Caenorhabditis elegans: one gene and its partner. The protein of the gene in region 2 interacts with the protein of the main gene of each other region in a pairwise test. Each region holds a gene or a part of one and is shown on either strand. Other genes may lie near its edges.

The links. Proteins that work in one complex are often made in the same cells at the same time.
Region 1: the proteins of npp-19 (region 2) and eif-2Balpha interact in a two-hybrid assay, tested with the Caenorhabditis elegans proteins (one large-scale study listed by BioGRID).

What each region holds. Positions count from the first base shown.
Region 1 is NC_003281.10:9,541,265-9,544,947, forward strand, and holds eif-2Balpha (Translation initiation factor eIF2B subunit alpha), read left to right. Parts: upstream 1-1,854; 5' UTR 1,855-1,877; coding exon 1,878-1,992; intron 1,993-2,044; coding exon 2,045-2,310; intron 2,311-2,373; coding exon 2,374-2,555; intron 2,556-2,614; coding exon 2,615-2,816; intron 2,817-2,864; coding exon 2,865-3,017; 3' UTR 3,018-3,140; downstream 3,141-3,683. Other genes in the region: Exonuclease mut-7, read right to left, coding at 14-830, 902-1,091; ZK1098.9 (uncharacterized protein), read left to right, coding at 3,187-3,328.
Region 2 is NC_003280.10:10,796,107-10,800,139, forward strand, and holds npp-19 (Nucleoporin NUP35), read right to left. Parts: upstream 2,374-4,033; 5' UTR 2,371-2,373; coding exon 2,297-2,370; intron 2,231-2,296; coding exon 2,157-2,230; intron 2,108-2,156; coding exon 1,835-2,107; intron 1,785-1,834; coding exon 1,393-1,784; intron 1,343-1,392; coding exon 1,158-1,342; intron 979-1,157; coding exon 912-978; intron 869-911; coding exon 788-868; 3' UTR 547-787; downstream 1-546. Other genes in the region: set-14 (SET domain-containing protein 14), read right to left, coding at 1-182.

The DNA of each region.
Region 1 (3,683 bases), on a different chromosome or scaffold from region 2:
GAATGTCACTTACTGTTTCTCGGTGTCATTTGAGCTCCACAAGTAAAACAAAATAGGTTCACGAACATCTTCGGCTTTGGTAAAAGTTTCAACCATATGCTGGAAATAGTTGTCATCGGATTTTCCCTTCTCGTATCGTTCACTGATATTAAACTTCAATGCCTTCAGATTCCCATTCTGTGAGTGGTTTTTGGCGAACTTCGACAATTCCCTGGAGAAGTTGTATTCGTGAGTATTTTTGTTGATAATCGTCGAAATGAGTTTGTCCAACGTTTTTCCCGTCAATTTCTCCATAGGAATCGTCATAATTTTGGTTTCCTTGTAGGGTTTCAGCATCTCTTCAACGGCAACCACTGAGATTCCAACCATTCGATCAAAAAACTCTACAAGCTGCTGTTGCATCCTCTCATTGTTACTTATCAATTTATAAGCCGTTTGATCTTTGCCAGATAGCATTAATGGAAGAACAAGATGTTCGAAATGATGATCCCGTAGAAGATTGTACTGAATAGCCATATCTGCAGCAACGGAGAAGTCTTGTTTCTTGATGGCAGCATCTAGCAACTGTGTAATGTCCTCAGTGAATTTCTCTTTGGTGATATCGAAGATTTCACTGAGAAGCTGCTTTTGTCCAATTGTGCACACATCTAAGGCGTTTATTTGAATAGTTCCAGTCAGATATTTCTGTCTGAGCTCCGTCTCCTGTCCCGACTCTTTTAACCAAACTCCAAAATCCTCCAGATACCAAACCGCCAAACTTTGTCCCGATGTTTTTCCTCTATCCGGCATCGCTTTCATCATATCCACAGCCATTCCGTAGATGTTGACTCCTTTAAATGTATAGATTATGAATGAGGGTTTTTTAAAGTTTTTAATAATAAAAGAACTTTAAAATGTTTACCTGATCTATAGTCCTCGTTGAAAAATTCTCGATTTTTGGCTCGAACTTTTCTCTCCCGCTCAGACTCGGGTCCATTCATAATTGCTTTCAGAACTTCCCGGCGTGACTTCAACGGTTCGGCGTAGTCTGTTCGATATTTTGCCTTTTTCTCGGCTTTCGTTAGCTTTCTTTTGTACGGTTCTTCTTCCATTTTCGAAACGGACAAGCTTGATTCTGTAAAAAGTATAAATAAATATTTGTCGAAAAGTTAGTACAAAAGAAATTAATCAAAGAACAAGGAAAACGTGTTTCCCCACGAGAATTCGTATTACGGAGAGGAAAATCTAGAAACGGCCCAAAAACCGAAAGAACAACAGAAAAGCGTTGTGGATTATTCGATATCCAGCACTTTTTGCACAAATTGAGGCAAAAATAATGGAAAAAGAACCAAGAAATCAATGAACAAAATGGAAAATGAATTTTTAAAAAATTGTCGATGGTATTTAAGATGTGCAGGTTAGCGAATAGTACTGTATCACGGCGGCGATTCAAATGATCTACGAAGCAATTACACGAGGAAAATTAATGGAGATTATGGAGCAAATTGAGGGAATTAATTATAGTATAAAAGTTTCGAAAAGGAAAATTATTATTTATTATCCTATTTAGTTCGCCACACAATGGGAGATTTTAGATGCGTAAATAGTTGAGAGTAGAAAGTAAACTGACTGACTCAAAAAATATGTTTAAAATGTTTATTCGAGATTGAGAAAATAAATTAAATTTCACGAAACCTTTTAAATACATAAGTAAAAAAATGTTTTGTTTTTAAATTTGCCACTATCAAAACTGTCTAACTCTCTAACTCTTATCTTCTCTGCGTAACGATAGAGCGCGTTTACATCATTATTTTTTCATTAAATTTTTTCTATAAATATTTCTTCTTTCTACGACAAACGTTCTCCATTATTGTTTTTGCAGACTTTTTCCATCTAACATGGTTCAAGAAAGCATTATTTCATCTTTCCGTGGAAAACTTGAAAACGATCCAAGCAAATCAACGAGTCTAGCCACAGTGGAAACACTGCTCGAGGTTTTAGACCGGAGTCGCGGTAAGTTCCTGAATTTGAATATTTAGGCAATTAATTTTTTGCTTAATTACAGCCACCACCGTTGCCGAATTTCAAAATGAGCTAAATCAAGTAGTTGCTGCTCTCGAGAAAACGGACTACAGCTCAACATCAATTCGAAGTGCCGCTGATTTGTTCACCAGATTCACTTCTCTGGCTCCAGCTGCTCTTCTCGATCAAGAAGATTTTTCTCAAGTTCTTGATCTGTATCGCCAACGAGCACGCTCATTTATAAAGAATGTCAGAGGTTCTCGAGCCAAAATTTCCAAGTGCGCTCGTCTATTTTTCACTCATCATATGGTACGTTTTTTTTTCTATTTAAATAATTCCTATTTAATGTATTTTAATCTTTGTATTTTCTAGAATATTCTGACACACTCATACAGCAAAGTGGTTCTGGAAACTATTCTTGATGCTCACAAAAGTGGATATCACCTTCATGTCTGGGTCACCGAATCGCAACCGGATGCTTCAGGAAAACTAGTGTTTGAAGAATTGAAAAAGAATGGAGTTCCAACTACTTTAGTTCTAGATAGCTGTGTGGGGTGAGTGGAAATTATAAAAAACAATAAGAAAAACGTATATACATTTTTTATTTTTTAAGATATGTCATGGAAAGAATTCAAGCAGTTCTAGTTGGCGCTGAAGGAGTCATGGAAACCGGTGGAATCATCAATAAAATTGGAACTGTTAATGTTTGTATCATCGCAAAATCACGGCATGTTCCCGTCTATGTTTGCGCTGAAACTATCAAGTTTGTACGGGAGTTCCCACTCAACCAGGCCGATATTCCCCAAGAATTCAAAGTAATCAATTTATATCAAATAACTCAATCAGATCTTTCATTATTTCAGTATCGAACATCAGTAATTGAGAGAAACAACCTAGAATTGGAGCATCCCGATGTGGATTACACCGCACCCGAATTTCTGACACTGATCATTACTGATGTCGGCGCAATGAAGCCTGAAGCTGTTGGAGAAGAACTCATTAAAATGTATATCTGAGGGTAGAAATTTATTTGAACGTGTATTTAATTCAATCAAATTAAATTAATTTGTTCTTGTTTTGTTTTTTATAATTATGATTGGTTTTTTTCTTTTACAAAAATAAAAAATAACGTGGAACCCAAAACTATTCATTTCGAGTTTTTAAAAACGCTCATTCATCAAAAAGATGAGTGAAAAGCACTTTATTTTGCCATCTAGCATGCTAATGATAGTTTCGGCTGTCTTCGGAGGTATCGGAATCATCACTACAATCGTGTTCGTGATTCTGACAGTTCTTCATTCAAAAAGTGCGGTTTGTAAACCTGCAGGTTAGTTTTTGTTGCGAAATTGTGCAATTTTTACCCAGAAAGTACGGTTCCCGGTCTCGACGCTACAATTGTTAAATTCTGAAAGGTGTGTGCCTTTAAAGTGTACTGTACTTCGAATTTTTAGACTTTTATTAGTTTTTCGATATTTAAATATTTATTTATTTATCTGAAACTATGAAAAATCGATGCAAATTCCATAACAACGAAAATCTGAAATTACAGTACTCTTTAAAGGCGCACACCTCTTTGGATCTATCAAAAACTTTGCCGTATCGAGACCGGGTATCGTATTAGCATGACGAAAATCGCAAAATTATCTGGATAATATAGTAATGCTGAAGAATAAAAATTTGCA
Region 2 (4,033 bases):
TTATGCAGCTTCCAGTCAGCTCTTTGACATTCTTGTGAGCAATAAGCAAGCCGTCGGCAGGCGCTGCACTTTTTGAGTTCTGCCATACTCGTAAGGCATTGATTACAATATGATTCGACTTGATCTCGTGCAAGAGCAAATGCGTACACATTTTCGTGGAGGGCGTCTGGGGGAAGATTCATTGGGAACTGAAAGAATTATTTGAATAATTTTTTTTTAACGGGTTTTTTAAAATTAAATTTTATAAAAAAAATTAAATTTAAAAAAAACTTCATCGATTGTAAATAATTTTCTGAAATTAAAAATTGAAGAAAATGAGAAAAATCGATAAAAGAATCTCTACAGTATTTTTAAAGGCACACACCCACACACAATTTTCAATGTCATTCGTGCCGAGACCATTCTGCAATAATGCGCCCTTCTTTAAACTCATAGAAGTGAATTTGTTTAATCGATGTTTTTCAGTCAATAAAGCCTCATTTTTTGAAAAAATATTTTTTTCGAGTATTAGCAACTCGTCTTCTATAATCGACAATATAAAAATATGAGTTTTCTTCATTTCAATTCATAGAATCAGTTTTGAATGGGAATGGAATGGACGGGAAGAAGGGAAGGAAAAATGTCCGAAAATTGAGAATACACCGAAATAAATAAAATTATTTTGAGAACGAAAAACCGTGAGAAACGAAACTGTTTTCAGAAATTCGAAAAAGAAGGATACACAACAAAAGAAAAAAATGGTGAAATAAAACAGAAAAATGGGCGATATTTCCAATGAGCAAAAAGATTAGTTGAGTCCGATCGTGTTCCAGAACTTGTTGAGCAATCCGTCAGGTGCCTTGCGAACCGATGGGGTTCCCTGTAAAATCTTTTTTAATTGGTTAGAAGGATTGAATCAATGAAATGCTTACGTTTGTTCTTTGATCGGCAGCCAATGGTCTCATTCCGACACCAGAACGGACGGAAATACGAGAAGAACTGAAAACATAAACAATTTTTTGTGGAAATATTAATTGAATTGTGAAAAATTAACTTTTTCTTTTTCACATTTTCAAAGTGGAGTAGCGCTAGACTACAAACTACAAACTTCGCTTTAGCAGATTCAAGTATAAAATTTAGATTTTTATGAATTTTTTACTAAAAATTTCTAATCATACTTGAGCGAGTTATTTGCATCAAAAACATTCGACGAGTTGAGCACACTGTTCTCATTGTGATTAACTGATTGATCGGCCATATCGTTCTCCACAAATGAGTTATACATGGAAGCAGATCGGTTTGCAGCTGCAGCAATGTTAGATGATCGAGCAACAATTCCGGATGCTGAGCCGTTGATCACGTCCTGTAAATTTTAAAATTAAAATAAAAAATAAATATATCCTTTTTACTTACCTTATTTGTGCACTGAACGACTCCAATAAATGTATCCTGATCGAGGAGAGTTCCGTTTCGAGAAATAGCTTGTTGAGCGTGTGTGACACACGAATAGCGCATATGTATGAAGTTTCCTTTTGATGGAGTCTGATGACTAACTACTTCCCCGTGCCGCGAGAATAAATTCAACAAAATCGACACTTGGCTTGGCTGAAATCCAAAAACAGTGACCCAGGTATCAGCTGCGTCGGCTTCTTCTTCCATTGGTTGTTCTTCTGCTTCAGCCAACCTGGATGTGACTCGTTGAGTGATTGGAGTGGAAAGTGGTGTTGATCTGGCAGTGAATGTATTTCGTCTGGAGATCTTTTTCGCTGGTTCAACTTTGTCGCGAAGAGATCGAAGAGGTGGTGCTGAAAATCAATTTTATTTTAAATATTCGCGAAAAAATGTAAATTCTAACCATGCATCGCTTGACCACCGAAAGATGATGTCTGAATCGACTGAGGAGCTGGCTTTGTCGGCGCCGAAAATGATGAATTTCCTCCGAAAGACAAGTTGGCAGGTGTATTCTGTGTTTGTGCCGCCGACTTTTCACCAGATTGCACCAAAGATGGAGACCAATGAACTGATTTAGAGCCCGGTGTATCCTTCAAATGCTGCGGCACTGCCGGTGCAGAAACAGCGAAAATATCCGAACATGGTGCCGATGCAGTGTTGAGCGGGCTAGCGGTGTCTAAATAATTATCATATTTTTGAGAAAACTTAAGATAAACTTTACTTACACGAAGATGGAACAGTTGCCTTTCGCTTTCCGAAAAGAAGTGCCGGCGTAGACTGTTCAACTGGTGTCCCGAAGCTAAAATTAGATTTTTAGTATTAAAAACTGGTTTTTTTTTTGCAAAATAAGAAACAAATTACTCACTTTGAAATACTAGAATTGTTGAGATCCATTGAGTTATGCCTTCCGGATGTATTTTGGTTAAGATGCGAGAACATGGCCTGAATTTCGAAATAAAATGCTTTTTAATTAAAAATTTAAGCAATAAACAAGTTTTTCAAATTTAAAATAAAGAAAGAATTGAAAAATACCGCTTTTTTAAAGTGGAAAACAGGTTCGAAAAGTTCCAAGAAAAAACATTTTTGTTTGAAAAATCAAAGTCCGCAACGACAAAACACGCAAAGCTACGCGCAATTGCGGACTTGAAAATGGAGGGAGTTTAAAATAGGGTTTTTGTGGTGAAAGTTTGCTGGGAGGTTTTCTGCGGGAAATAAAGAGAAAATTTTTTTTCTCTGATCGGATGTTTTGTAATTTTGATGAAGTCGATTTTCTGTTTGAACTTTGATTTTTTTTCTTCAACACTAGACACTGAAAAAAGTGAAATTCGTGTATGGGTTACTGTATAATACCGCCGACCCCTATAGTACATACCTATCCATAAAATATTGAATTCTAAAAAATTCTAGAAATTTAATTACACATTTCAGATGTTTTTGTTTTTATTTCCCTTTGACCTACTCCCTCGTCTAATTTTCGTTTTCAAATTTCAACGAGCACCACTCGTTTCTTCTCACTCCTCCTCGTTTTAATTGCAAAAAAAAACGGAGAAAATTGAGAAATGCACGACGACGGGGTCCCCCATTTAATTAAATTCCTTTTCTGTGTCGTCGACCTTTTTTTGTTGACCACACAGAGCACAACGTTCGGAGAGCTTCTTCCCGCCTCTTCATCAAATAAAATGAGAATTCATTCCTTTTTTGGGAAAGAAAAATGTTTCGTCGCGCACGACTATATAGCCCCCTGTGTCGTATAATATTTGCGGGTTGGTCAAAATGAGAAAGAAAAAAAACCAAAAGATGATGAATTGAATGAAAATTGTATTTAATATTAGTTTTCGGACCGAACCGGATGTAATTTATTTTCAGAAAATGTGGTTGGTTCTGACTGGAGCAGAAGTGGCGACCTGATGATGTAGTCAAACTTGCGCGTCAAATTTGGTGTTTTCGCCCCGCCTCTTAGAAGATGAGATTTTGATTTTTGAACTGAAACTTTCAAACTGTGATTCCCATAAAACCGTACGGAAATTACAATTTCCGTACTGTTACAAAACAAATTTTGGGATAGAGGGAATTATTACGTAGACGTCAAAATTGGGAAAATTTCGTAAAATCTTAGGTCTCGCCACGCCGAGTTACTGTAACTCGTCTCCATTTACGGGTAGCATAGTATCATAATTTTCAGATTTAATCGAAAATTGCTGTCAAGAATTTGAATATAATATTAAAAATGGCACAATATTGGTCCAGTTACAGTAACCCAATTTCAGCGTGGTGAGACCCGAAAACTTTCATCTTTAGACTACCACGTAATAACAGAAATTGAGAATAGAAAACGATGGTATTGGCCACACCCACATAACCGTGCGGAACTTGCAGATTTTGCAACCTCCGCAAGGTTCATTGAGCTCTCATTCTCATAACCGTGCGGAGGTTGCAAAATTTGCAATTTTCGCACACTCTTCTTCTCGTGGAGTACACATTCTCCGATTTCGAAATTTAAGAAAGTTTTTGGAGACGAGGTCACCTGGCAACGGGATCTATGAAGACTAGCGGAAGAACATTATAGCAACGATTCGTTTTTTTTTCGGCAATGTGTCCCAAG